7 linked regions of the Coturnix japonica genome follow. The protein of the gene in region 6 purifies or fractionates together with the protein of the main gene of each other region. This does not show direct contact. Links are inferred from orthologs where the notes say so. Each region holds a gene or a part of one and is shown on either strand. Other genes may lie near its edges.

Region 1 (3,525 bases), on a different chromosome or scaffold from region 6:
TGGGCAGATGCTGGGTGTGGGCAGATGCTGGGTGTGGGCAGATGCTGGGTGTGGGCAGATGCTGGATGTGGGCAGATGCTGGATGTGGGCAGATGCTGGGTGTGGGCAGGCCAGGTGTCAGGCTGCACGGCGGGGCAGGGCTCCTTCACCCTGCGCAGGATGCGGAGCAGAAGCGGGTGGCGCTGAGCCCAAAGGGATGCTGCGCTCCCGAGCTCTGTGTGCGGAGGGGGGACACGGGGCTGTCAGGCTCCGCGCCTGACCTCGGGTGCTCCCTGCTCCCATCTCGTCTTTCCCACAGGGGAGGGGGTTGGGGAGCGACACGGAGAGTCTGACTCAGAGGAAACTGGAGACGGTGAGGGCACATGGGGCGAAGAGCTCATTCCAGGGCAGGGAACGCTCCAAACCCACGGGGATCCCCTCAGCAGCCTTTGCTAATGGATTCGGGAGTGAGGGAGCCCGCACAAAACACGTGCCCTGTTCCTCACACCCAGCAGCACCTGGACGGCTCTTCCTTTTGCCTCAGCCCCGGACCAAGCTGCAGAGCCCATCGCACACCGACCCCAGCAGCTCCCCGGACAGTGCCACGCTGCGCTGTGCCAGGCCGAGCTGCGGGCACTCGGACAGCAGAGGGACGCACCGAGCCCTCGTCCTCCCGCTGAGCCTCTTATCCCACCCGAGGGCCGCGATGGGAGCGAGGAGGAACCCGAGCCGGGCCCGAAATGAGGCAAACGATCCGCCGGGTCAGGGCCCCCGGGCCATCAATATTAACGGCACGGCCGGCCCGGGATGCGGCCAAGGCACGAACCGAGCGCTCCGCTCGGCACCGCGCCAGGCAGCGGCACGGCCCAGCGCCAACACACGGCCCGGGAACACAGAGCGAGCGGCCGGCACACGGCGGGACCGGCACAACCGGCACAACCGGCACACGGCGGGACCGGGACACAGCGGTACCGGCACGGCCGCACGGCGGGTGATGAGCTCCCGCTCCCGGTGACCCCGTGCTGGGCTCAGGGCTGCCCTCGGCCGTGCCAGCCGGTCACGCCGCCCCAAGGCCGCGGGCCCGCCCCGCTCCGTGCCCCGCTCCCCGCCCCGCCGCACCCATCCCGTTCCCGTTCCCGTTCCCGCTCGCACCTGCCGCCCGCTCCCCGCCGCCCGCCGCCATGCCCGGTTCCCGCCGCCCTCACGGCACCGGGCAGCGCCCGCCGCCCCGCGCCTGCGCACTGAGCACAGCGGGCAGGGCCGGCACGAGGCGCCGCACTACGACTCCCAGCGGGCCGCGCGACACCGCCGCTCCCTGAGGTTAAAAGAGAACCAATAGGTATGCCGCTTACATCGCGGCCCCGTCGCTGAGAGCCAATAGGAGGAGGGTTCTTTGCGGGCTCACGCGCGACGCTGAACATGGCGCCACCAGCTCGGTACTGCGTGCCCGGTAAGTGCGGGGCGGGCGGCGGGGGGGGACGGGCCGGTAAGTGCGGGACCGGTGCTGAGCGAGCGACCCGCAGGAGAACGGCTGTGCGGAGCGGACGGAAACGCGGCGGGGAGCGGCACCTACGTGCGGAACGGCAACATCTTCGCTGCGCTGAGCGGATGCGTGCGGCGCTGCGAGCGGGACGGGGCGGTGAGAGCACGGCGGGGAACGGGAAACGGGGCGGGACCGGGCTGAGACCGGGTGTGTGTGTGTGTCTATGTGTGTGTGTGTGTGTCTGTGTGTGTGTCTGTGTGTCTATCCATCTGTCTGTGCCCCGCAGCTGCCCGTGGTGTCGGTGGTGCGGGATGCAGAGGCGCAGCTGCTGCCCGACGTGGGCTCCGTGGTGACGTGTAAGGTGGGTGCCGCTGTCCCCACGTGTCCCCGCGGCCGGGGCCGTGTGCTCGGCTCACGGAGCTCCGGACGGACGGCGGCGGACACTCAAGGAGCCGCCCGGCCCGGCCCGGCCCACGCTGCGCGGGCGCTGAGTGCCCGCCGCCCGTTGGTGCAGGTGTGCAGCATCAACTCCCGGTTTGCCAAAGTGAACATCCTGTACGTTGGCTCCACGCCGCTGAAATCCACCTTCCGTGGCACCATACGGTAGGGAAAGGGCAGGGGGCACACTGCGCGGTGCCTGCCTGCTGCGAGGACAGCTGCGTGGATGCATCTAGCGAGGCCTGGCTGCCGTCCAGGGAGGCCGGGGCAGCTCCTCCTGGCTCTCTCTGGTATCACATTCCTGTGTCTGCTTTTCTAGGAGGGAAGACATTCGAGCTACTGAAAAGGATAAGGTCAGCGGGGCACTGCTGGGTACAGTGCTGTTACAGCTTCCCCCTGTCCAGCTCCCCTCGTGCTGCTGCCCATGGGGTGCCTATCGAGCAGTACCTGCGCTCTCCATGCACTCCTGTCCACTCCCTCCCACGTAGGTAGAAGTCTACAAGAGTTTCCGCCCCGGTGACATAGTCCTGGCCAAAGTCGTATCCTTTCCCATCGCAGTGGGAGGGCCCACGGGCCTGGAGGGTTTGTGCTGGGCTATAGAGGCAGGGAGTCTTTCCCTTAACACAAACCTAACCAGATCTCGCTGGGGGATGCACAGTCCAACTACCTGCTGAGCACGGCAGAGAACGAGCTGGGTGTGGTGGTGGCACGCAGCGACGCAGGTAGGAATCCTCATCTCCATGTGAGGAACAGCCAGTGCAGCATGGGGAGCAAACACCCTCCTTTCCTCCCACTGCTGAGCCTCAGGGGCTGCACGAGGAGGCTTTGGGCTGCTGGGGCTGGGCAGTGTGACAAAGCAGGAAGGGATCTGCTAACTGAGGATGCCTGCAGGGGTGCAGATGGTGCCTATCAGCTGGTGTGAGATGCAGTGCCCACAGACGCACACCAAGGACTTCCGTAAGGTGGCCCGTGTGCAGCCTCAGTTCCTGCAGACATAGCAGCCTCCTCAGGGGTACAGGGACCCCAGGAAAGAGAGCTGCTATGGTGGGGTCCAGCATCTTCCATACAGCAGGATGGGTTTTGTATTTGTGCTGTAAGTAATAAATAAACGTGGTTTTTTTGAGAGCTCTGTGTTCTGCTCAGTCACTGCCCGCAGGGGTTGCTCTGGCTGCCTGTAGCCCTTCTGCTCTGGAGCTGCTGGAGGGGGCTGTTTCTCCCATCAGTGTGGGAGTGAGAAAGTCTGTTCCTGTCCTGGGGAGCAGCGAGGCTTTGAGGCTTAGTGGTACATAGCACCATCTATGGCTGCTGTGCTCATCCCCAGGATGGCTTATCACCTCAGGCCATACATGCCCTTTGTTAGGCAGAGGTGTGGCACAGCCCAGAGCCCATAAAGCACTGCAGTGAATCACTCTTTGCAGCGAGGATTGCAGAACTGTGCTTTGCTGTGCAGTCTGAGCACCTTCTGCACCCACAAGTCAGCAGCAACTTGCGCATCACAGACACGTGGTGGTGCAGGAAATGCGGTGCTAGGCAAAGTGGGAGCTCCACGTGGCGCAGTGGCACAAGGAAACGCTGACATTTAATTATTGCATATTCATCTTTTATTGAACTGGAACAAGACAACT
Region 2 (3,500 bases), on a different chromosome or scaffold from region 6:
GACCCCATCTCAGCCTTGATTCGTAATTATATTGACTATAAAAGCAAGTTTCTGTTTGGATGGCAGAGATCAGAGTTTGAAGCAGAATTCCAAGTGCTGACCAAGTCATCGAGGTCTCTGATAAAGTACTTGGAATGGTGTCCAACCCCTCCAGCTTCACTGCTGATCTGCTTAATAGCTATGGTCCTACTGAGTAGAGTCCTCTTAGAAAGTGGAAATTAGTATAATCTGTTCCAGTGCCTTCTTTTGAAGGTTCAGCCTCTCTAAAATCCCTTTTCACCCAAAGAATCTAAAAGAATAGGTATTTTATTTTAAGAATTAAAAATTCTGGCCAGGCTGTCTGAAGTGGACACGGTTGGGGGGAGGTTGGCATGGTGAAAAATGGTATTTCTGTGGTGGTCAGAATGTCATAGAAGGCTGTAAAGGGAAATAAGTGGGATTTAAACAGAAGTTCTGAGTAGTGCCTAAAGATTTAAAAATAGCATCAGAATGTCTCTGTCTTAAAACCCGGACACAGTAAAAATCAATCCTAAATATGTCAGATTTGGAGGGTTTTTCGGTCTCTGTTGGTGCTGAGAACAGTAGTTCATGCAGGAATGAGTTCTTGTGTAGTGCAGGGTGGCTTGACTTTAGCTGTTGCACTTGATATGTCACATCCACTAAAGTTTGAGCATTAGAATCTAGCAACTGTTCTCTAGAGCAGTAACTATCTTAGCACAGACTGTTTGGAACAAACACCAAGTAATTTTTGCAGGCACTTGTTGAATATTTCAGGTGGTCGCCTGCTGATAGAACCAGTGAAACATAGGCACCCAATCTCTGATTCTATTGCTGCTTTTTGGGTGTCCTAATAAACTCCCTTGTGACAAGAAAATAAAGAGGGGAAGATGTGTCTAGCTAGCTGTTGTAGAAAGGGAAGCCTGTTTTAGTCAGAGCTGTGGCTCTGAGCAGTTTGAGCATCCTCACTGTGTGGTTCATGTCATTGCAGGTGGAGCAGTTCTGGCGGTTTTACAGTCACATGGTACGTCCTGGGGACCTGACAGGCCATAGTGACTTCCATCTTTTCAAAGAGGGCATCAAACCCATGTGGGAGGTGAGTTGGAGCTCTCGTGTCTGCCTTGATGCTCCCCAGAGAATGATGGATGAAACCTTCTGTGGTGAAGAGAGTCTTGTCACTTAATGGCACTCTTGAGTTCAGCCTTTTCTTCTGAGCTTGCTGTAAACTTGTTCTCAAAACTCTGTTCCGTGTAACCTGGTGGCTCTGTGGTCTTCTGGCTGAGGAGAGGGCAGATGAAGGGAGTTGCTAGCTGTGCTTGCTGTGGGTCCAGAAGAGTCTTCTGGCTGGTGTTGCATGCAGCTCAGTAAAGGGTAGCCATGCTAAGCTCTGTGCTCACTACACAGCACAGCACTTTTACCCATTATTAGTGCTTTGTCCTATGGCAGCAGCATGGAGCTTTCCTCTAAAAGAAACAGAACCTCTCAATAAGGGAAGAAATAAGAGAATAAGAAGCAAGGAGATGCATGTGCTTAAAAGCCTACAGCTCTATGCAGAACAGAAAATGGAAAGAAGACTTAGCTCTTCATTCACTTTTTTTCCTTTACAAGGCACTTGATTTGCACGTGTTCATTTCTGTCCAAATCTGTATAAAGAAGGGAAAAAAAAATCTTTGCCCAACAAATCATTCTTCCAGCTCCTGGCTGGCTTCCAGCAATGACCAATACCATTTGCAATATGAGAATTTTATGTGTTGCTCTGCAGTACCTAATTATGCTGCTTGGTCCTGAGAAATTTATATGTGACCCTGGTTGGCAATTATTTTAAGCAAGGTGTTTTATAGCCAGTTACTGCAAATACAATTTATATAAAACGCTTAACCCTCCTTGGACTCCTAGTCAGCTTAGCTGCTCTGATAATGTGTCCACCAGAGAGTCCACAAGTTAATGATAGCAGAATTTCTATAAAGAATTTCCCTGTAGCCATTTTAGGATGAAGATGGAGAGGCTCTTTGTCTTTTATTTCTGGTCACGTTGCCTTCTTGTATTTGTAGAAGACTTACCCTTGTAGCTTCCCTTCTCTTTGCTACCCTTTTTAGGGCTTTATGTTCCTTCCTCTTTGAAAGTAAGCTTAATTACTGTAATTTTTGTAAGCATGTATACATATATGTGGTTCTGATCTTTTTCAGAATCCATCTGTGCCTTTTCTGGGTAAAGTCAGTAGCAGTAAGCATAATGTTCCCTTGTGATTTTCTGGGCTGCAGATCATTATTATTCTGGTAAATGGAAATGAAATGCTTGACTGAACCAAAGCTTGTTTAACCTGAAAGAAAACTAACAGTAACCATAAAACACACAATACAGCATCTGCTTCCCAATGACCATTCTCTTTCTAGCCTTGAACCTTCCTGAACAATGTTTAAGTTGTTTTGAGCTATACCAATTTATTTTCTTACCTCTGTAAGTCAGTGTGGAATGTTCGAGGAGTGAAACCCAACTTAGGCTGAATTCTTAATTCTCAGAGTGGGATGTCCACAACTTGGAAAACAAGGATGCTTAATCAAAAAGCATTTTTGCATTTCATGGGAATATGCGGCATTCCTAGAACTTCTGCTGATTTAGATTCTTCACCTTGCATGTGGCTGCTCTCATGCGTTGGAGGTTTGTCCAGAGCTCACACCTTCCCCTTTCACTATGGACTCTTAACATGTAGATGGGATCTGGTGACTGCTGCTCCTCTGCTGGCATTTTCCTTTTTGCTCAGTATTGTTTCGTTGGCATTTGCTGTCTCTGAGAGTGCACAAGTACTTAGTTTTTCTAAGCCCTAAAGAAGCTTTATAGTTAAAATAAAGTTTATTTTGTCCTGTTAAGAAGGATTGGGCTGCCTTGCCTTGCATCTTTGAAGTGTAACTTAGGTTGGCAAAGGGGATTGCTAATTGTTTGGCCAGGGATGTTCTGTGTAATACAGATCACTACGAGCTCTTTTTCCTTCTCTGTTTTTGTCCTAGACCTCTGTTCATTCCCTTCCTAACTGCCACCTCCCCTTAGACTTGTTCTTACTTCTCAGTTGTTGTCTTTGGATGGAATCCATTCCCTTTTGTAGGAGTTTCCAGCTACAAGGGAATGCCACAGTGAGAATTCTGCACAAAGGAAGAACTGCTGTTTGATGTGGTTGTGTGTTTGTGAAGCAGGGCAGTCTGTAGCAGTTTTCAGTTCAACATACAGGATTGCAACTTTGAGGTGACAGGTTGGGTGCTTAGCGTAAATTTTTCCTTTCCTTTCTTCCAATTTTTGTGTATTTCCTTGGGTCAGCACAGTTCGTCTGTATCTGTGATAATGACAGTGGCTTCCAGAGAACAGGCTGGCCCTTCTGGGTTAACTTGTTATGTGAGCTCGTTCCTGGAAATGCTGAAGAAAAACATTTCAACTTTCCCTTTACTTTTGAACATGATTTTGCAAACTGTTTCCATGCCTTCCATGTTCTGTGATAAGGGATTTTTCCTCTT
Region 3 (4,284 bases), on a different chromosome or scaffold from region 6:
CGCATCAGAAAAGCGCCCGTCATCGACCCCCCAATGCATCCCTGCAGGCTCATTCGCCTGCCCTACCCGTGCCCCATCCCGCTTCCTTGGCCCATCACATCCCCACCATGGTGCTGTGAGCCATGGAACGGCAGCAGCACGTTTCTGGATGGTCGCTGCCCACGTGCAAAGACTGGCATTGAGATGTGTGAGGAACTGGGAGCCCGTGGCAGAGCCGCTGCTCTGAGTTTGCATTGGGAGCATCAGCGTTTCCATAGGGTTTGGTGGGAAAGGGAGAATGGGAGGGCACGGCAGGACATCCCGTGTGGATTTTGCTGGTGTGTTCGGAGCTGCGGCTGCACCTGGATGAATCAAGGTTGGGTTTTATGGATCATTTGATAGGAAGGAAAATTGCTTTTGTCCTTTCTCCTCTGTGCCAGCGAGCGCCCAGCAAGGAGACGTGGCACAGCATCACTGGGACCATCAGCTTTGTCTGTTCAGCCGAGTTGGGTTTTCCTCCCTCTATCCCCAGCTGTGCCATGGGGTTTGTCTACATGCCACCAAGGGATGGGAGGCTGAGATGGGCTGTGAGACCCCCGAGGTCAGGCTGCCCGGGGCTCTGAGCACTGTGTGTGTAGGGAGTTGGACCAGGCGGCCTTTAGGAGGGGTTTGAGGGGGGTCCCTTCCAACTTGGACCATGCAATGACGGCCCAGCAGCTGCTCAGCCCCATCCAGCCCTAAGGGAGCGCTCAGCTCTGCTGCCCTCTGGGGACCGCACAGCCCGGAGCGGCTGTTCCCATTAACTTGGAAGGTTGTTGTGTTCATCCTAAATCCGAGGTGTATAAAAGCTCTCATAAAAATAAAAACACTGCGTTTTACTGCCAGAAAAGGGAAAAAAAGAAAAACCCAAGAAGGAAAATATATAATAACCCGTCACTTTAACTTTGTAAATATTTATGTAAAACATTATTTACAAGCCTTTGATATTCTATATTATGGGATTGTATACGCACAGCGCTGTAAATACATTTGTACCTCTCTCTTGTACTCGAAATAAAAAGCGATTCGGGACCGAGCGTGGTTTAAATTGGGGGGAGGGGGGGGCTGTGGGTCCAACCCCATTAATGGGTGCTGGGACCCATAGGGAGCACTCAGCCCCATAGGGATGGATGGGACCCATAGGGATGGATGGGACCCATAGGGATGTATGGGACCCATAGGGGGGCACTCAGCGCCATAGGGAAGGCTGGGACCCATAGGGGGGCACTCAGCCCCATAGGGATGGATGGGACCCATAGGGGAGCACTCAGCCCCATAGGGATGGCTGGGACCCATAGGGGAGCACTCAGCCCCATAGGGATGGATGAGACCCATAGGGGAGCACCCCCTGCCCCATTCACATCGCTGCCCCCCCCCAACCTCCCTGCCAGGAACCAAAATGGCCGCCCTGTACCCAACCCACGTGACTCTCGTTACGGCCCTCATTCAAGATGGCGTCCGGAAGTCACGTGTAACCGCAAGGCGCAGTTCCGCCTTCAACCAAGATGGCGGCGGTGTCCATGCGGCTGCCCGTGATCCGTAAAGCCGTGGGGCCCAGCCGGCCTCGGGGCGGCGAGAAACACCTGGTTGTACCCGGAGACACCATCACTACGGACACGGGATACATGAGGTGGGGATGGAGGAGCATTAGGGGACGGGGCAGGCCGCGGTTTGGGCTCTAATGGCGTCCGTTCTGTCTGCAGGGGACACGGCACCTATGTGGATGAGGAGAAGCTCGTCGCCTCGGTGGCTGGAGCTGTGGAGAGGGTGAATAAATTGGTGTGTGTGACACCGCTACAGAGCAGGTGAATATAGGGACGGGATGTGCAATGGGATGGGTAATAATGGTGTGTAATGTGTGTTAATGCTGTGTAATAATGCTGTGTAATGTGTGTTAATGCTGTGTAATAATGCTGTGTAATAATGGTGTGTAATAATGCTGTGTTAATGCTGTGTTAATGCTGTGCTCTGTCCCACCGCCAGGTACAACGGGGAGGTCGGAGACATCGTGGTCGGGAGGATCACGGAGGTGAGGAGCTGGGAGGACACGGGAGAACGTGATGAGGTCTGACAAAGAAAGAGTGAGATGCTGGAGCACAGAGAGCACTGTGCCATGCAGAGCTGCAGGAGGGCGTTGGTGGCAACCGTAGTGCCCATCCGGATCCATTGTAATGAGCTGCCGTCCAGTGCGCCCATAGGGGGAACAGGGACCCCACACTAAAGGGGGGGACACATAGGGATGGATGGGATCTATAGGGATGGATGGGATCTATAGGGGATGGATGGGACACATAGGGATGGATGGGACACATAGGGGAGTACTCAGCCACATAGGGATGGCTGGCGCCCATAGGGATGGCTGGGACCCATAGGGGAGCACTCAGCCCCATAGGGATGGCTGGGACCCATAGGGGAGCACTCAGCCCCATAGGGATGGCTGGGACCCATAGGGTTGGATGCATGCAGTGCAAGCTGTGGGACAGGGAGGTGGGCATGTCCTCGTGTGAGGCCCCATCTGTAGCACTGTGTCCTGGTGGGGCATCCTCGGTGCAGGATGGACATGGATCTGTTGGAGCACATCCACAGGATGACCGTAAAAGTGATCCGAGGGATGGAACAGCTCCCTGCGGGGACAGGCTGAGAGCTGGGGCTGTGCAGCATGGAGAGGAGATGGCGCTGGAGAGAGCTGAGAGCAGCCTGTCATTATCTAAAGTATCTTTCTGTAAGGAAGAAGGGGACTGACTTCTTAGCAGGGTCTGTTGTGATAGGACAAGGGGAAATGGTTTCAGTCTCAACAGGAGAGATTTACATTCAATATAAGGAGGATGTCTTTTACAATAAGGGCAATGAGGCGCTGGCACAAGTTACTCAGGGTGGTTGTGGTTGCCTCACCCCCACAGACATTCAGGATCAGAGCTGGACGGGGCTCTGTGCACCTGAGGGACCTGCAGGTGTCCCTGTTCATTACTGGGAGTTGTACCAGGTGGCTTTTAATGCTCTTTTCCAACTGAAATGATTCCTTCTCTGACAGCCTCTGCTGCACTGGCCGGTCATTTCTTATGGCTGTCACAGTGCTTTGCTATAGAGTCAGTCATCTGCATGACTTCCCACTTAGATTAGAGACTTAGTTCATTTTCTGAGTGTACATTAACGTTGTTTTTTCTTCACCAGGTTCAACAGAAACGATGGAAAGTGGAAACCAATTCCAGGCTGGATTCAGTCCTGTTGTTGTCGTCTATGAATTTACCTGGTGGGGAACTGGTGAGCACAGTTTGTGCAGAGAAGGACCACAGTGCTGCAGGGCAGGATGCTCTGAGCCCCTCCTGCAGTTAGCACACGTGTGGTTTTGACTTCCCATGCATTTTGCACAGTGTCCTAAGGAGATGATCCTCTCTTTGTGTTGCTGTTAATTAATGTTTTCTCATTCTACGTGACCCATAACTTTTCTTGCATTGTCCATTTTAGAGGAGGAGATCAGCAGAAGATGAGCTTGCAATGAGGGACTATCTGCAGGAAGGGGATCTCATCAGTGTATCCTTTCACTGCTTGTACTTGGACAGAAGAGTCAAAGGGATTGGAAGGGGGAACAGCCAGACCTCAGGCAGGCAGGGAAAGCTCTGTTGGTGGCTGTTGGTACAGGGCAGCATGAAGAAGTCTGTTTCCTTAAGAGGCACTGACAGGCAGAGGTCCAGTCTGTGTTTTCAGATGGGGCTGTATCACTGCACACCAGGAGTCTGAAATATGGGAAGGTATGTTGTTCAAAAGTCTCATTTTGTGCTGGTTGGATTGTATGAGTCTCTAACCCTTGTGCTTAGTGGTCTGTTAGAGGGTCAGATCTTGTTAAATACAGTGCAGTTCTATCCATGTCAGTAGAATTTCTTTGTATTTATATCGAGATAGCATCAGGATAGAGGTTTGGGGGGAGATCCTTAAGGAATAAAAGGCTCTGCAGTAGAGTATGATATTATAGCCCTTGTCAGTAGGTTAGGAAGAATTTTAGCTCCTACATGGGAGCTCAAAGCAGAGTTCCTCATTGCACACATTCCCTCTGAACTGCTGCTGTCCCTCTCCACAGTTACTGCATGAATCCATTTCTCCCACCAGTTGCTTGGGACTTGAGCTCTGGGAAGAAAAATCTTCTATCTCAAACTTTATCGCTCTTCTTCTGCAGGTCATTGTCCCCATGGCTTGCTGCTCACTCCAGGGCTCTATTTTAGGCTTTATGCAGTTGGCATTTATCTCTGTTTTTGCACATTGAAATAAGCC
Region 4 (4,217 bases), on a different chromosome or scaffold from region 6:
TGATGTTTCTGAACATTCAGCACAGCTAAGACAGTAAAATAAACTGCTGCTGTTACTCAGACACTAAGCAGGTTAGGGCAGTGAAGGTTCACATTTCAGATCTGATTAGGTTTTTTATTTCAAATGTGAGAAGCAAAGTGTATATGCATACTGCTCCATTACCTTTTCTTCTACTATACTAACCAGTCAACAAAGAATTCCAGATAACCTTCATCTGGTTTCTCTAACTTCGGTGTCCCCATTTCAGCTTTTACACCAACCAAGATATCAGTGTGTCCCTGTTAAAACAAAAATACATCACACAGTTAGAACTATGGGCAAAATACACTCAGTTGAGATGCCTACAGCATGCAGACACTACCATCTATTCTGTTGTCTTTGCTAATTGCTCTACTAGAGAATTGCAGAACAGAAAGGCTTTAGGAGAACAATTCTGTGCCCACATATCAGCTTTCTTTGTGTATATAAGACAATCTTAATAGCCATACCTTTTTATCATTGCAGTTCTGGATCAGTTATTTCTGCAGAATGTTTATAATACCGCCAAAAAATAATTGTTTTCTTTACAGTCAACACATGCCAGAAGTAGTTTTGCTTCACTGTAAAGGAGCAGAATTATTTTTTCCAGTGACAGGCACAACAGCATCTAACACCCAATAGCAGATTAGTTCAGACTGAAGGCCTTTCAGGCACTCCACTATAAATTTAGCTCAAATGCATTAAGCTAACTTGAATTATTCATATATCTTGTCATTATTTCCTCAACCTATCATGTCAATTAGAGCTAAGCACATACATACATGCATAGGTCGCTCTGAAAGTAACGTCTTCTATTTATTTCCACAGAAAATATAAGAGGTGCAAAGAGCAAAATAACATTATTTGATTGAACAGATTCTCAGCAACAAAACCTTATTAACATAGTCACCATCACTCTGCATTTTCACCACTGATGAACAAGAGACTGCATGCTGCACTCATAAAAATCTGCACCAGCAGAGGTAACCCACTGTTTCATAGCTATGACTGCACCACTGCTAGGAAAGCATTGCCTGAGCAGTCTATTTTCCATCAAGCCCAAAGAGGTGGAAGACAGAAGGCACCAAATCCACACTACACAGTGGGTGCTGTAGGACAGTCCAGACAAATTTGGCAACGTGCTCCAGGGTCCTGAAACTGGTATGGGACTTGGTGTTATCGCATTGCAAGAGAAAAGGTGTCTTCTTCTCTGCCTGACTCTGGAAGCTCAAGCCTTCAGCTTAGTCAGTGTCATGATGTAGCAGTCAGAGCTGATGGTTTGTCTGGGTTTCAGGAAATCCAAAAGGATCACTTCTTTCCTATCCCAAGAGACAGTTCACAATACTTTGCCTGCTGAAGGCTATCTCTTGAACTTTTTCTTCAATAGGGAATCACATGTCACCACTCCATGGACTGCGTTTTCTCACCGGTGCGTAGTGGTGACACCACATCTCATCATCACTACTGATGTGATCCTGGAAACTGTTGCCTTCAGCCTTGTATTGGTTCAAGAGATCCTGACAAACTTATAACTTTGAATCCCCCCTGTCGTGCAAGTGGTAGAAGTGCCGCTCTGCTACACAGGAGGCTCGAATCCCAGGGGTTGGACTCGATGATCTCTAAGGTCCCTTCCAACCCACACCAGACTGTGATACTGTGTGATATACAGTATTCTTTCTGCTCCTCTGTGAACACTTATGGGAGCCACCTGGCATGCATTTTCTGATATTCCAACATTGTCACCATCATTTCTAATGCAATGAAGCTGATATTCAGCTCTGTACACAGTTCCCTGGTCATAATCTGCTGATTTGCACAAATGAGCTGATCAAGACAGTTCATTTCATCGTATGACAGCCGTGCATGGTCATCTAGAACATGCCTTGTATTTCACAAGGTGAAATGCACCACCACACAGAATCACAGAATTACCTGGGTTGAAAGGGACCTCAAGGATCATGTAGTTCCAACCCCCCTGCCTAGCAGGGCCACCAAACATACGCCTTCACTAGATCAGGTTGCCCAGGGCCCCGCTTCACTGTGCTCACGTTCGCTGTTGGGTCTCCATCAGCATTCAGCATGCGACAATGAATGCCAACAGGGACAATCGTTTCAACACGACATAATTCAATACCACATCTTTGCATTTCCAAGTCAGACACCATTCTGTCAGACTGCACATCTGCTGTCATCAGTCACAGGGCAACACAATAGAATGAAATATTGTTGGGAAGGTTCAACCTCTACTACCACACCACCAACATCTGCTTATGATACTGTGGGCCAACATCATAAAATAGGAGGGGCTGTTTTTGGAGCAACATATTAGACACATATGAGGAGACACACATGGACGTATTTACAAGCAGCAATTATTTATCATAAGCCAAGCGAAACAAGCCAGTTTTATCAGCAATGTAGACGACTCCTGAGCCGTTCACCTACCAGCTTCACTCTCGCAGATCCACTCGTGTTGGACACCACATCTGTCTCTACTTCTGCACACCTGTAATCTTCACAGCCACGGCCATCCACACGGAGGTCCTCCTAAACACGACAACCAACGTAATCGCGAACATAAGGAACCTGTGCTTTTCAAGCTTCCCGTGCCGAATACATCACCAAAGATGACAAGCAACTATTCCCTACCTGGACGCCGTGTATGATGTACATCTTCTCCGCGTCGCTCAGCACTACGGACGCCATGACACCCCGCGCGCTGCAGAGCACTTCCGCTTCCGCTTCTCGGAAGGAGGCGAGCTCTGCGCCTGCGCACCGCCGCACTTCCGCAGGCGGGAAATGGCGCCGGTCGCCTCAGCGCCTTGTACAGGGCGGTGGGGTCGGCCCTGTGTGTGTGTGTGCCCTTAGCTGAGGTAAAAGTAACCTGAGGGTTGTGTGCCCCGGTGGCGCAGTGGTAGGAACGCCGCCTTGCAACACTGGGGCCCGGAGTTCGAATCCCCCCTGTGGCACAAGTGGTACAAGTGCCGCTCTGCTACAGAGAGGCTCGAATCCCGGGGGTTGGACTCGATGATCTCTAAGGTCCCTTCCAACCCACACGAGACTATGAGACTATGAGGGTACCCGAGTATGAAGCTGAGGTTCTCCTGGCTGTCAGACCGCGGAGAAATGCGGAGTTTTACCCGAGACATCGTGCTGGTGGTGTGGGAATGCGATTAAAGGCTCCAGTTTGACACTGCGTTGTAATTGAGGGGTGTTTATTGTGGCAGCTTCCATTAGCTCACGTTGTAGGTGCCATACGCTCAGCACGGCTCTCCTGTATGTTGGTTGGTGCGCTGAGTGGTGCCCACTAAGGGCACAGTGAGGTTTGGGATGTTAGGGGGAAGTTCTTCACCAGGAGAGTGGTTAGGCCCTGGAACAGGCTGCCCAGGGAGGTTGTGGATGCCCCGTCCTTGGAGGTGTTCAAGACCAGGTTGGATGGGGCCCTGGGCAACCTGATCTAGTAAATGTGTATGTTTGGTGGCCCTGCCAGGCAGGGGGGTTGGAACTACATGATCCTTGAGGTTCCTTCCAACCCGGGTCATTCTGTGAGGTTATGGCGCTGGTGCTGCCTGGCTCCCAGCTGCACCCACAGCGCTCAGACACAAGGAGGGGCAGCTTTCCTTCCTTCATTCCTTCCTCCATGTCTGCCATCCATCCCAGACTGGAAGCGCAGCCAGCAGCTCCTCGCTGCTCACAGGATGCGGTGTCGTTTATAACAAGGACAAAGCGATGCCTTCTGCCTCATTTTAGCCAGCTGGAAGTGGAAAAAGACCGTGATGGAGCCGCCCGGCACGCAGGGGCTCACGCTGCCCGGTGAAGCTGCAAGCAGCGCAGGCAGCGGCCGCTAAATCCGCAGGTGCCGGCTGCTGCTGCCCGGCTTTGCGGTGCCGAGGCCCGGGGCGGGGCCGCCGGCCGCCAGCCGCCACTTCCTGGTTCCTCCGTTGCCGCCCCACCTCCTCGCCGGGATCGCGTAAGGGGACGGCGCTTGGGGAGGGGGGGGGAACCGCGCTCCGCCGGGCCCAGTGCCGCGCGCGGGGCGCCCGCTCCGGCGGGGCGGATGGGAGGTGGCGGCGGGCGGCGGCCTGCGGGTAGGTGGCGGGGCAGAGCCACGGGACCGCGGGGCTACGGGTGGGGTGGGGTGAGGTAAAGGGGGATGCGGCCGGGAGCGCCTTCCAGAGCGGGCCGTGACATGGGCTGCG
Region 5 (4,151 bases), on a different chromosome or scaffold from region 6:
CTACTGAGCAACCCCTTACTGCAAAAATCCCACTGTCCATATAGTCTGCAAGAATAGTACAACTTATTAGCTAATGTGGATGACTTGTTGAGCAATGCATCCATTTCCAGATTTCAATTCTTTTTCACTGGTAGACAATATAATGTTTTTTGTAAGAGTATTAGAGAGATGGTAAGCATTATCTTCCCTTGCAAATGCAGCAGTTATAACAAAACAGTGCTAGTGAACGAGATCCAAGTAGAACTGATTAATTTATCCTTCCCAAGATAAGCAGCATGCTGAATCAATAACAGTGACAGCTAAGATACCCAAGGAAGCCCTGATACTTCCTGCTAAATATCTGAACTGCTGCATTAGTCATGCACAGAATGTCCATTTAAGCATGAAATTCAGCTCTCTCTCTTCTTGCACAGAAGCTACGAGAATTAAACTGCACTGAAAAATGCTTAAGCTTAATTGCTTGCCTGCTGTGGTCGACCTCAATGCAAACGCTGCAGGTCCAGTTTTCACACCTGGAGCACAAATACCAGTGATTCCAAATACAGTTGGCAGTAAGTCATTGTACTTTCCAACCCTCTCCTCCCCTCCCCCCAAAAAAGAGAAAAATAGAAAAAAGGAAAAGGGAGGTGGTGGGGAAAAATAAACAAACCAAAAAAACAAAGGGACAAGGGGGAATGGTTTTAAACTGAGACGGGAGGTTTAGGTTAGATATTAGGAGGAAGTTTTTCACACAGAGGGTGGTGACGCACTGGAACAGGTTGCCCAAGGAGGTTGTAGATGCCCCATCCCTGCAGGCATTCAAGGCCAGGCTGGATGTGGCTCTGGGCAGCCTGGTCTGCTGGTTGGTGACCCTGCACATAGCAGGGGGTTGAAATTCGATGATCACTGCGGTCCTTTTCAACCCAGGCCACTCTATGATTCAGTGAAAAGGTGGAAAGAAATAGCAAGATAAGTTGATTTAATGTGGGCTGGTTCAATAACAGTGAAGATTTCTCATTGAAGAGAAGTGTTTACTTCTACTGTCAGGCAAAATGACATTGAAAGGCTCTACAGAGGGATCTGGATAGGCTGAATCAGTGGGCTGAGACCAACTGTATGAGCTTCAACAAGACCAAGTCCTGAGTTTCAGGAAGGGAGGTCACGGTGAGGTGAAGTCGGCCTCTTCTGGGTCACAGTGACAGGACAAGAAGGAATGCCGTCAAGTTGCACCAAGGGAGGTGTAGGCTGGGTATTAGGGAAGAAGGAATTCCTCTCACAAAGAGCACTAGGCGCCTGCACCGAAGAATCGCGTCCGCCCACCGCCAGGGGGCCCCATTCAGCAGCTCCGCCGGCCGCGCTCTGTGGTGAGGCGGCTGGAGCGGCCGCCGCGTGTTGATGACGTCCCGCAGCCGAGCTCACGCCGTCCGTTTGTGGGGTCTGCCATGAAGGAGACGCCGCTGTCCAACTGCGAGCGGCGCTTCCTGCTGCGCGCCATCCAGGAGAGGAAGGTGCGGTGCCGGACCGGCCTCCCCGTACCCTGCCCCGTACCCTGCCCCGGGCCCTTGTCGCCTCAGCTGCGGGGCGGCGCGGCCCGGCGTGGTGCGCTGACCGCCCCGTGTGTGTGTGTGTGTGTGTGTCTGTCCCCGCAGCGGCTGGACGGGCGGCAGTGCTACGACTACCGCAATGTGCGCATCTCCTTCGGGCCCGAGCGCGGCTGCTGCGTGGTGGAGCTGGGCAAGACCAGGTAGGAGCGGCCGGGGGTCTCCGGGCTGGGACACACACAGCTCTATGCGCATTCACCGCCCTCAGGGTGAAGGAAAGGAAACTTGAGCTGAACAACGAGAAATGTGTTAGAAAACATCCACATGGGTCTTTGTTTTTTCTTTATATGTTTTGTTTCCATCGTTAGGTATTTTCTTGCTAAGCTTTCTGACCTAGCTGCTTATTTCCTTCTGCAGGGTCCTTGGGCAAGTCTCATGTGAACTCGTTCCCCCGAAGCCAAACCGGGCTACAGAAGGGATTCTGTTCTGTAACCTGGAGCTCTCACCCATGGCTGCACCTGGCTTTGAGCCTGGCAGGTACGTCGCTTTCTTAAGAAGTCCAGGCAAGGATAATGGTGCAAGTGGTAGAAGTGCCGCTCTGCTACACAGAGGCTCGAATCCCAGGGGTTGGACTTGATGATCTCTAAGGTCCCTTCCAACCCGCACGAGACTGATACTGTGATAATGTATGAACCACTGCTTGGACACGCACAAGTATGTACCATAATGATGTTGAATTTGGGTTGATTTTGTTTGAACAGGCAATCCGAGTTACTGGTCAAAGTGAACAGACTGATAGAACGATGCCTGAGGAATTCCAAGTGTATAGATACAGAATCCCTCTGCGTTGTTGCTGGTGAAAAGGTAGGAGAAAACTACCAGTCTCAAACCATTGCATAGAATCACTGAGCTTGGAGAAGACCTCCAAGATAATCCACTCCAACCATCCACATAGCACCAATATTTCCCCACTTAAGCCACGTCCCTTAGTTATACATCTAAATATTTCTCGAATTCAATCACATATAAACATGTTTAATGATTTTAAACATAAAAGTCACTTTTTCAGGTGCTCTGTCTTGTTTTGAATACTGGTCTTTTTTCATCCTAACTCTTAAATCAAATACTCGAGGAATGTAAGCTGCTCTTTTTTGTGATTCAAAAACTGGAAGTGTCTTGGAAAAGCAGGAGCTTCTGTGGAATTATGTTACACATTGCCAGTTATACATGTTTTCCCTCAGGTCTGGCAAATCCGTGTGGATCTGCACCTGTTAAATCACGATGGTAACATTATAGATGCTGCCAGCATAGCAGGAATCGTGGCCCTATGCCATTTTCGCAGACCAGATGTTTCTGTGCAAGGAAAAGAAATAACGGTGGTAAGTCATACCAGGTTTACCTCCATAAGTCGTAAATGGGAAGTATTATACAAGGAGAACCAAAAGAGATTTTTTATTAATATTTAGTTGACTAGACTTTTTTTCTTTGCTTTCTGTTTCTTTACATTGCTCTTGCACAATGTAAGTAACCAATAACCAATTCTTTTCTCAGTACTCTCCTGAGGAACGTGATCCTGTGCCCCTGAGCATCCACCACATGCCTATTTGTGTCAGTTTTGCCTTCTTCCAGCAGGGGTAAGAATTCTTCTTAAAGCTCTTGACAGAAACAGCTTATTGTCAGTTGTGCAAAATTATTGTTACAGCACTGTGAAAATACTCTTGTTGACAGACAGCTTTCTTAACACGTTCATACGTGTTCTCCACAGTGTGATAGTAGCCAGCAGCTTGCACAGATAGGAAGAAAACTGTTACAAGGGAGTCAAAGTCAACCTCAAACTTCTGTTGTCTTATGTTAAAAACTTGGTTCTAGGACGTATTTGTTGGTGGATCCAAATGAACGAGAGGAACGTGTGATGGATGGTCTCCTTGTAATTGCCATGAATAAACATCAGGAAATTTGTACCATCCAGTCTAGTGGAGGGATTATGCTATTAAAGGATCAGGTAAAAGTCAAGGAAAACATTTAAGGATCTGTTCTGTGGTTCTATTTTAAGTCATGTTTTCATGATTCTAAACTGTTACCGTGTATGTAACGTACAGGTTCTGAGATGCAGTAAAATAACAGCTGTGAAGGTTGCGGAAATAACAGAATTAATTCAGAAAGCTTTGGAGAACGACCAGAAAGTGAGGTGAGTTTTTGGGGAAGGAATGGAAAGTACTTTGAAGAACTGATTGAAAAGTTAATGCCAGTTTATAATGAAACAGCAGGTTGTTTCTGTTTGTAATCATTTCAAGTATTACAAGTATGGAAATGCTTGCTATATTCATATATGTGAAATATCCTGAAATAACGTCTGTTGTTGGATGACTAGGAAAGAAGGTGGGAAGTTCGGCTTTGCAGAATCGATATCAAATCAGAAGATCACTGCCTTCAAAATGGACAGTGCTGCTGTAGATACCAACAATGTGGAAGAACAAGCAGAAGAAATCATAACTAAAGCTGACCCTCCTTCAGAAGTGTATGTTTTCTATTCGTTATTCCAGGGGGGAGTTTTCCTCTTATCTGCACTGGCCCTTCTAGAAGCTAGTAAGACACTCAAGCTATCAGATGGCTCCGGGTGGCCCTATAGCC
Region 6 (4,160 bases):
TTCCTTTTATCGCAGGCACAGAGTGACACAATGTAGGCACACTGATCTGTGCTCTTCACTGTGTCACAGCAGGGAGCAGCCGCTGCATTTCAAACTGAATTCTAGATATTTTCCCCCAAATGTTCTTTCTCATCCTGTCGCCAATGGTTATTCTATATTTGTTCCTACTGAACAAGAGCTCCATCACTTCGGTCTCCATTTCTCCTTTCCTCTCACTTACACAATACATCTAAAATCATCTAGACTATCAACCAAGACCACACTTAAGTCGTCTCTCACCAAGTTTTAACACCTCCTCCTCCTCATATGCTGAGAACTTGGCTTCCACAAACCAGCTCCTTACAGATGGTACTTACATTTACTGGCACCAATTGGTTACTCAGAAATATTAGTCACTGCAGACACACATTTTACAGAATATGGGAAATAGAAGCAAGTAGAATAAACAGGAACACACAGTGACACGCTGCCTTGGCTTTGTCCCAGCCTTTTTTTCTCGTAAGGGCAACTACTGGAGAGTTTGCACCACGTATTAGGTTCAAGTGCGATTATGATGTAGGCATCCTTAAGAAAGTATTAATGACTTTTTAATTGTAAAAATCATCCCCCAGTGTCATACGAGCAGCATTACAGTCTTATTTACAGCACACCGGCCAGGGCCCACAAACACCACGTTGGGTGCCACAACCTTCCCCTGCTTTTCTGTTTGATGTCGATAAATAAGTGCTGCTTCTGGGCCTCGTTCAGCCTCCCAGTGCCTCCCATACAAAACAAGCACACTCCTGCCCTTGGTAACTGCCTGAAAACAAGCGATAGACCCCGAATCTATCTTCTTACGACCAGCTCTCCACCTCACCCCACAGAGCAGCCCCTTCTTTCTCACCTTCCACGGGCACTGCAGACACTTCTCCAGCATTTTCTCCACTTCCTAACCGCTTTCACCACTCCAAAGGGAACCCGTCAGCTCTGAGCAGCACAAACCGGGGCTCTCCTTCTCCTCAGCTCCCACTCGGCACCAGCCCCTCAAGAACTCGCCCTCGGTTTCATCCCTGCTTCTTTCAGCTCGCCAACTTCTCCTCAGCTCCTTCCCACCTTCCCCTTATCTCTCTCCTACGTCTCAGAGCTGCTCCATCCTCGCTCCCTCACTCCCGTCCTTCCCTCAGAGCCGCTCTCATCCCGCTCCCGCCTTCCCCCAGCTCGTGCCCGTCCCTCAGTGCCGCTCTCATCTCGTGCTTTCACACCAGCTCGCGCCCATCCCCAGAACATCCCGCACTCCCCTTGCACGGCTCGTGCCCGCCCCTCGCTTCAGGCCCTGCCCCGTTCGGTTGCACCGCCCCTCGCTTCAGGCCCTGCCCCGTTCGGTTGCACCGCCCCTCGCGCCGCTCGCAGTCCGGCCTGGCGGTGCTCTGCTCCGCTTATCGCCGCAATGCTCCGCACGGAGAAAGTGCTGCAGCTGCGGAGCCAGCAGGGCCGCTCGGTGCGGGTGGTGAGGGAGCATTACCTCCGGAACGACGTGCTGTGCCGCAGCGCGCTGTGCCGGGCCGGCTGTGAGCGCGGTGAGACGGGAAGGGAAAGGCCGGGAGCTGGGCGGTGTGATCCGTGTTGGGCCAAAGGAGGGTGCGACCCTTCGGCCCAGCGGAGCCTGGAGGGTCGGGAGGGCTGAAAGGAACCGGTGGGAGCACAGCGGGGGGGTGGGCGGCACCGAGGAGCGGAGGTGTTAAATTCAAGACACCACCGTACGAAGTATTGAGGGAAAAAATGAAAGAGGAACCGAAGGGAGGTGATGGCTGATAAAGGATTTAGTTGTAAACAGCCCAGGGGTGGTTCTGAAAGGCCAAAGTGCGGCGGGAAACGCGCATTTCACGCCTTATTTCCCTCAAAGGTTGTCTAAAAGTGTTTATTTCTCCTTGGTGGTGATTATAGTGTGAAAGAAATCCGGTGTGTGGCTGTTCCAACCGGGCCCATGCGACATCGTGAAGCGGCTGTAATTGTGCATCAGCTGCGCTCTGTCAGCAGTTCCTGTCCCATAACGGAGCGCTCTGCTCCTGTTCTGCTCCCATTGCACACACGGGGCTTTGCTTTCTGTGACAGCTGTTGTGTACTCAGGTGCTGTTAAGTACATTGTGGATCAGCTTAAAAAGCACAGAATTTCAGTTCTTCCTCCTGAGCTGCAGCTGATGTCAGTGTTGTCACTTCAGTTCTCTGTGCCCATTGCATGGGAGGGCAGAAGGCAGCACAGCATCTTACTGCCAGCTGGATGTCAGGCTGAGTTCATCACTGCTCCCTTGTGCACAGAGACGTGCACAGCTTTTGGCTGTAAGTTACAGACACGTACCAAGATCTCAGCCCTCTGCCCATCACCAACTTCTCTTCTGGGCTTGAATGTAAATAGTGCTGTCGATGTGTGCCAGAATACACCCTTTGTAGTTATTCCAGGTAACTCAGAGGTAAGGTGAACATTAGTTTTCACTCCTGACTGCATGCTGTACTCAGCAAACTTTCCTCCTCTGCATAAATCACACCTAGAGATACTCTGATAACACACTGTGCCGACCTGCAAGTTATTCTGCTCTAATTGTATACAACTGCCCTGCCCTATGGTAACTACAGAAGTACCGGTTTTATTATATCATAATGGGTAAATCAGCAGATGCAGCAGAGTTAATGGCTACCCATCAAATCTTTAGCAATTGCTACAATTTGAGGTGATGTTTTAAGGTTTAATCAGTGCTGGGTTGGTTGTGATAATTTGATGGTGTACCCACAAGGGATGGAGTTTCTCTGGAGAAAATAGTCTAGATTTGGACCTTTCCTCTTTGAGAACGTCATCTTTTACCTGTTTCCTTTTATGTAAAGATGTAGGAGAAGAGCCTGCTCTAAATGGATAGTGTTGGATAGAGAGATTTGGGGAAGCACTACACCTATTGAATGGCTCCGTGAAAAGATTTTGTGGTCTTTCCATGTGGAAGTTGAGGGGAAGAAAAAGGAATGTTACATGCACTTACATGGCATCCCTTTCACAGTGATGTTAGATTTCTTTGCTCTAAATTCCTGGCACTTCAAGTTATTTGAGGAAGCAGTATCGCATCTAAAAGTTTCAATCTTTAATCTCTACCTTATATTTTAGATGGCAAGTTGTTATCGGACGATGTGACTCACTATGTTGTCCCAGACTGGAAGGTTGTTCAGGACTACCTTGAGATCCTTGAGTTTCCAGAGCTGAAAGGTATTATATTCATGCAAACAGCATGTCAAGCTGTGCAACACCAAAAAGGTCGCAGGTAATGATCCTATAACAACTTGTTTATTGTTTTACTACAGATTGAAGTAACTTACTGACTTTGTACAATATTTATTTCAGCAGTTACCCTGAATTAGAAAAATCCCATGCTTAAGTTATTTCTAGGTTTTTCAAAAGCATTAATTCTACAGGAGGTAAAGAAATGTGATCCTTGGTGATCCATAGGCATCAGTGCATGTAATAGTATCTGCTTGATAATGGCATCATTGAACATGTAACATCACTAATGAATTGGATGGCTTGTGACAGCAACAAAGGACACTTTGCAGTAACAATGTGGTTTATGCCACAACTAGATTTTGTGCACCTTTTTGTTCCTGCTGTACTGCAGACGGAGAGCTCATCTTTGAGGGTCAGTCAGTGCTATTACACAGCACTTACCTGAGCAGACCTATATATTGCCAAAGCATCTTCCCTCTGAAACAATAATACAATTTCCTACATGCTTATAATGTTTGAGGGGGGGTTTATCAGAAAACAAATGTGTTACAGAATATTTGTAATGCAACTAAAAAAACTTGCTTAGAGATGATTTTTTACATTTCCTCATCAATGGTGGAATTTAATAAATGCATTTCTTTGTGTGGGGCCATAGTGCTCCTTGAGTTTTTCAGCTGTATTACCAGATGAAAACAAACAGGCGTTATCAAAAGAAAGCACAAGTTGATATTTACCTTTTTTGTTTTCCAGACAGTACAACAAGTTGCGAAATCTAATAAAGGACACTCGTCATGACTGTACAGTGTTTGCCAATGAGTTCCACCAGAATTCTTACCAGCCAAGAGAGAAGGGAGAATCCATGGAGAAATGGCAGACCAGGTTTGCTTTAACATATACAGCACTGCACTGGGTAACATAA
Region 7 (4,166 bases), on a different chromosome or scaffold from region 6:
TAAGAGAGATGATTAACAATATTTCTTTATCTTGACTAAGCTTTGGCTTAAACCTCTGGATCTTTCTGCTGCTCCTGCATGTTCTCTTCTTTATTCTGCTGTTCCATCTTCTCACGTTCTTGTTCCTATTGTAAAGAGAAGACAGCTGAAGATAGCGTATATGCTTTTGATACTCAGTTCCTCGTGCTCTTTAGTAGTTAATATTTATATCTCCTATACTTTGGATTAGGCTCTTTGAAGCTTTGCACAGCATCTATTATAGACAGACTAATCCATATAGATTCTATGGGAGGAAAAAATAGCTAAGATAGTTAACTGCAGAAGACAGTCTACTTATCCTAATCTAATTTTCTAACATATCTTTAGTTAGTTTCTCTTTAGCTTAGTCTCTTCATTTTTGGTAACATCTTGTCATGTAGCAGGTAAGTTTTTCTCCCCAGCTGCTCAGCTGTCCTTTCTAATTCCTTTCGAAATAATGATATTTTCAAAACGCAATGTTTAAGCACTTTTTGTTATCTTTTCCCTTTCAAGATCAGAATACAATTGTAGGTACTTTCCAACATTCTGATTCTCTTATGATTCTATGTTGATAATGACTACTATTGTAGTGAGAGCTACAAGTTGACCCAGCATCACACGCTACTATAATTATGAACAACTATTAACCTGCCGTTGTTCTTCAAGTTTCTGTTGTATCAGTAGCTCTTCTTCCTTCATTTTTCTTAACATTTCAAGTTCTTCCAGGGCTGCCTGCCGTTCTTTTTCCAGTTTGGCCCTTTCCAACGTTCTCTATTTCAGAGGTAACAAGAAATCAATGAAAAAAAAAGGAAACAAAACACAAAGAGAGATTATACAGCATCAGTTAGATTGACATGAAATGCTTTGCCCGAGGTAGACCCACCTTCTTTTCTTCTTCTAGTGTTTTCTTGTAGTTGTAGATCCAGTGTGCCAGGTACTCTATTGGGTCAGCGGGCCGACGCTCCACAACCTCCGCCAGACCCTTTTTCAAGCAGCTTCCCAGACATCTCCTCAGGTATTGAGACTCCATTCTCACCTACTGACAAACCGACAGATATTAGTCACCGATATCGGAATTCAGACAGCAGTTAGAGGAAGTGTTGACTGCATCACATCCCCAGTGTGATGTTGGTGGTTTTATCAAAGCTCATTTCATCAGGCAATTAATATGAGAAGGTGGTAGCGGTGCTGTCCCCCGTTCCCTACCGCTTCGCTCCTACCGGCCCGATCGCACAGCGCGTCCAACCGCGTTACCGGGCAACCGCGCTCCCGGCTGGATCCTGCGTCAGGCGGCCGGGCGGTGTCGCTGTCGTTGCGCTCTCGGCCCTTCCATCGCCGCCGCCATTTTGCGTCTGCTTCCGCCGGAAGGGCCGCACGCGATGGCGGGTGGGGGCGGCGTGCCGGCGGAGACCCGTGTGGGACAAGTGGTGCTGCCCGGCGATGTGCTGCTGCTGCCCGAGCACGGAGAGCCCGACCTCGACAAGCTGCCGCTGGGCACCAGCGCGGCCCCGCGGGGGAGGCTGCTGTGCGGGCCGGGGCTGCGGCGCTGTGCGGGCGGGCTGCTGGTCACCAAGTGCGGGCTGCTGCGGCACCGGCAGGCGGGCGGCGGAGCGGCGGCGGGCGGCGCCTACTGGGTGGACTCGCAGCAGAAGCGGGTACGGCGGCAGCGGGCGGCGGGGGGCGGTGATGTGCGGGACGAGCCCGCTGATCGCTTGTACCCGCTTGTAGTACGTGCCGGTGAAGGGAGACCACGTTATCGGCATCGTGACGGGCAAGGTGGGGGACGTGTTCCGGCTGGACGTCGGTGGTAGCGAGCAGGCCTCGCTGTCATACCTGGCCTTCGAGGGCGCGACCAAGAGGAACAGGCCCAACGTGCAGGTAACGCTGCCCGCCGGGAGCTTGCCTTTGTAAACGGTGTTTTTACCACTCGGACCATATAAACGAGGAACGTGACTTTTTTCACAGAGCTTTTGTCATGGCCTGTACGGGGTGTCCCGATGAGGCCGTGAGTTTTTTCTGTTTTCTCCGGAGCTTTTTGTGCTTCTTCACTTCTGACCTTACACCTTTCCCATCGGTTAACAGTGGCAGGTGCTACTCGTGCAGTAACGTGGGTCCCAAGGGGCCACCCTGAGGCTTTAAAGCATCCTCTGAACGCTGGTGCTGGTAGAGGAGGGTTTGCTTTGTAGCATTTACAAGTTGTTTTGTGATATGTGCGTTCACCAGAAACACTGTCAGCATGGTGTAAAATGGGCTGTGATTTTAAATGGAATAGACTGGTATGGCTTCTGGTGCGCCTTCTGAGTAAAGAATTGTTTCCTAACATGTAACCTTTATCTCCCCTCTGTTAATTCAAAGCCATTCCCCCTTGTCCTGTCACTACTAGGCTATATAAAAAGTCACTCCCTATAAGCACTGGAAGGCTTCGATGGGGTCTATCCAGAGCCTTTTCCAGGCTCAACAAGCCTAACTCTCTCAACTTTTCTTCACACAAGAGGCGCTCCGGCCCTCTTCTGACCCATTCCAATGGTCTTGTGTCAGGGGCCACAGGCTTGGACAGAGTACCCCAGGTGGGGCCTCACAATGGCAGAATAAAGGGGTCAGTTACCTCATTCACCCTTCTAGCTATCTTTCTTTGGATCCAGCCTGGGATCCCATTGGCCTTCTGAGCTGCAAGTGTACGCTGCTGGTTCTTGTCCAAGTGTTCATCCAGTTTACAACTGTTTTGTTGTCTCTTTATGGACTGAATGTTTCTTACAAATGTGCATTGTTATCTTCTCTAATGATTCTTTTTTTTTGTTGTTTTCTGGCACTGCTTGCTTTAGGTGGGAGACCTTGTTTATGGTCAGTTCCTTGTAGCAAATAAAGACATGGAACCAGAGATGGTCTGTATAGACAGCAGTGGAAGAGCAAGTGGAATGGGAGTAATTGGACAAGACGGCTTCCTCTTTAAAGTTTCCTTAGGTCTGATAAGAAAGTAAGTACTAAGAAAACCAGTTGTACTAAAGTGTTGGGGTTGTTAAACTTAGCATGTGTCTAAACAACACACAGTCATTAGCTCCTCTCCCTCCAGACCCTGTCCTGCTTTTCCCTATAGGCTTGGGAATAGAATCGATTAAAAAACAGACACAAAGTAGAATTCATGGGTTGAGATAAAACTGTTTACAAAGAGAAAAGAAAACAAGATACTACTTAAGAGAAATACATATATGTGAATGTATATAGGAAGTTACCCACTGACTGATGCCCAGCTAGGCCCCAAGCAGCAGGAGAGAGAGAAAAAAGGACTCATGTCCCATTCAAAACTTTCCTTTTGCGTAATGTTATATGGTATGGAATATCCCTTTGGCCACTTAAAGTCAGCTGTCTTATTTCTATCCCTTCCCAGCTGCTTGGGTGCCCTGCCCTGTGCTTCCGAGATCCTTGTTAGTTCCCCATCCCCCAGTTGGTAGGATGGTAAGAGAGAGTGGGGAAAAATGAAGTATGCTTGGCTCTGTACAGCAGTGTTCAGCAACAGCTGGAAATACAGGTGTATTATCATTGTTTTTCTCCTAAAACCAGAACAGCATCTTAGCAGGCACTGAAGGAGAGACAATTGTGTGCAGCTGAAACTGGAAGAGTAACATTTTGTTTTTAGGTAGGATATGCACAGCTGTCTCCAATTCAAGTAGTGTGAACTAGCCAGTAACTGCTATGTGGCTGTTGTGCTGCATTTATGCCAGTTTTACTGGGGAAAGGATGCATGTACATTGAACTAGAAACAGTGTGTGACTATCATAAAATACCAGCTGATAGTGATAAGAGATGGTCAGACTAGTTGTTGCTTTGATGTTGAGGGAGGAGAGGTGAGCATCTGTTCTTGGAGATAACAAGTAGCTATGTCATACCTGGGTTTAGTAAGTAATTTGGTTTATGTGTCTTATCAGTGTGAACAGCTAAGTTGTTTTTCAGCCTTGTTCTTGGTAACTCTTCTGCCTAATTAGGAAAACAGCTACAGTGCACAGGTGCTCTCTTTAGGTGCATGTGTTTTGGGAGGAGAACTTCAATTCTGATATGGCTGGATATGCAATTTGAATCGTCTTAACTTTTGGAGTTGCTTTTGTAACTCCAGTGCTACTGTTTAGCTGCTGGCTGATAATGTTGTAATACTT

Evidence for each region.
Region 1: the proteins of DIS3L (region 6) and EXOSC1 purify together in Homo sapiens (affinity purification with mass spectrometry; 4 studies listed by BioGRID and IntAct, counting the BioPlex papers as one, with this or other methods). This does not show direct contact. The link is inferred for Coturnix japonica from reciprocal best matches to the Homo sapiens genes DIS3L and EXOSC1.
Region 2: the proteins of DIS3L (region 6) and EIF4E2 purify together in Homo sapiens (affinity purification with mass spectrometry; 3 studies listed by BioGRID and IntAct, with this or other methods). This does not show direct contact. The link is inferred for Coturnix japonica from reciprocal best matches to the Homo sapiens genes DIS3L and EIF4E2.
Region 3: the proteins of DIS3L (region 6) and EXOSC2 purify together in Homo sapiens (affinity purification with mass spectrometry; 5 studies listed by BioGRID and IntAct, with this or other methods). This does not show direct contact. The link is inferred for Coturnix japonica from reciprocal best matches to the Homo sapiens genes DIS3L and EXOSC2.
Region 4: the proteins of DIS3L (region 6) and EXOSC7 purify together in Homo sapiens (affinity purification with mass spectrometry; 3 studies listed by BioGRID and IntAct, counting the BioPlex papers as one, with this or other methods). This does not show direct contact. The link is inferred for Coturnix japonica from reciprocal best matches to the Homo sapiens genes DIS3L and EXOSC7.
Region 5: the proteins of DIS3L (region 6) and EXOSC9 purify together in Homo sapiens (affinity purification with mass spectrometry; 3 studies listed by BioGRID and IntAct, with this or other methods). This does not show direct contact. The link is inferred for Coturnix japonica from reciprocal best matches to the Homo sapiens genes DIS3L and EXOSC9.
Region 7: the proteins of DIS3L (region 6) and EXOSC3 purify together in Homo sapiens (affinity purification with mass spectrometry; 6 studies listed by BioGRID and IntAct, counting the BioPlex papers as one, with this or other methods). This does not show direct contact. The link is inferred for Coturnix japonica from reciprocal best matches to the Homo sapiens genes DIS3L and EXOSC3.

The regions. Positions count from the first base shown.
Region 1 is NC_029521.1:19,502,293-19,505,817, forward strand, and holds EXOSC1 (exosome complex component CSL4), read left to right. Parts: upstream 1-1,398; coding exon 1,399-1,429; intron 1,430-1,502; coding exon 1,503-1,618; intron 1,619-1,748; coding exon 1,749-1,823; intron 1,824-1,976; coding exon 1,977-2,065; intron 2,066-2,219; coding exon 2,220-2,253; intron 2,254-2,388; coding exon 2,389-2,439; intron 2,440-2,537; coding exon 2,538-2,622; intron 2,623-2,791; coding exon 2,792-2,898; 3' UTR 2,899-3,025; downstream 3,026-3,525. Other genes in the region: palmitoyltransferase ZDHHC16, read right to left, coding at 1,132-1,400. UniProt on the Homo sapiens protein: Non-catalytic component of the RNA exosome complex which has 3'->5' exoribonuclease activity and participates in a multitude of cellular RNA processing and degradation events.
Region 2 is NC_029524.1:13,648,256-13,651,755, reverse strand, and holds part of EIF4E2 (eukaryotic translation initiation factor 4E type 2), read left to right. Parts: intron 1-988; coding exon 989-1,093; intron 1,094-3,500. UniProt on the Homo sapiens protein: Recognizes and binds the 7-methylguanosine-containing mRNA cap during an early step in the initiation. Acts as a repressor of translation initiation.
Region 3 is NC_029532.1:4,558,014-4,562,297, forward strand, and holds the start of EXOSC2 (exosome complex component RRP4), read left to right. Parts: upstream 1-1,484; 5' UTR 1,485-1,523; coding exon 1,524-1,648; intron 1,649-1,721; coding exon 1,722-1,823; intron 1,824-2,001; coding exon 2,002-2,047; intron 2,048-3,189; coding exon 3,190-3,279; intron 3,280-3,483; coding exon 3,484-3,549; intron 3,550-3,698; coding exon 3,699-3,767; intron 3,768-4,284. Other genes in the region: PRDM12 (PR domain zinc finger protein 12), read left to right, coding at 1-119. UniProt on the Homo sapiens protein: Non-catalytic component of the RNA exosome complex which has 3'->5' exoribonuclease activity and participates in a multitude of cellular RNA processing and degradation events.
Region 4 is NC_029517.1:39,619,642-39,623,858, forward strand, and holds the start of EXOSC7 (exosome complex component RRP42), read right to left. Parts: upstream 2,801-4,217; 5' UTR 2,725-2,800; coding exon 2,668-2,724; intron 2,566-2,667; coding exon 2,464-2,565; intron 279-2,463; coding exon 184-278; intron 1-183. UniProt on the Homo sapiens protein: Non-catalytic component of the RNA exosome complex which has 3'->5' exoribonuclease activity and participates in a multitude of cellular RNA processing and degradation events.
Region 5 is NC_029519.1:48,282,512-48,286,662, reverse strand, and holds the start of EXOSC9 (exosome complex component RRP45), read left to right. Parts: upstream 1-1,351; 5' UTR 1,352-1,421; coding exon 1,422-1,487; intron 1,488-1,628; coding exon 1,629-1,723; intron 1,724-1,937; coding exon 1,938-2,057; intron 2,058-2,281; coding exon 2,282-2,384; intron 2,385-2,761; coding exon 2,762-2,899; intron 2,900-3,071; coding exon 3,072-3,154; intron 3,155-3,389; coding exon 3,390-3,522; intron 3,523-3,619; coding exon 3,620-3,708; intron 3,709-3,891; coding exon 3,892-4,038; intron 4,039-4,151. UniProt on the Homo sapiens protein: Non-catalytic component of the RNA exosome complex which has 3'->5' exoribonuclease activity and participates in a multitude of cellular RNA processing and degradation events.
Region 6 is NC_029525.1:16,720,453-16,724,612, forward strand, and holds the start of DIS3L (DIS3-like exonuclease 1), read left to right. Parts: upstream 1-1,360; 5' UTR 1,361-1,426; coding exon 1,427-1,556; intron 1,557-3,127; coding exon 3,128-3,281; intron 3,282-3,991; coding exon 3,992-4,120; intron 4,121-4,160. UniProt on the Homo sapiens protein: Catalytic component of the RNA exosome complex which has 3'->5' exoribonuclease activity and participates in a multitude of cellular RNA processing and degradation events.
Region 7 is NC_029521.1:3,509,690-3,513,855, reverse strand, and holds the start of EXOSC3 (exosome complex component RRP40), read left to right. Parts: upstream 1-1,366; 5' UTR 1,367-1,397; coding exon 1,398-1,673; intron 1,674-1,746; coding exon 1,747-1,896; intron 1,897-2,840; coding exon 2,841-2,992; intron 2,993-4,166. Other genes in the region: DYDC1 (DPY30 domain-containing protein 1), read right to left, coding at 54-125, 667-789, 902-1,048. UniProt on the Homo sapiens protein: Non-catalytic component of the RNA exosome complex which has 3'->5' exoribonuclease activity and participates in a multitude of cellular RNA processing and degradation events.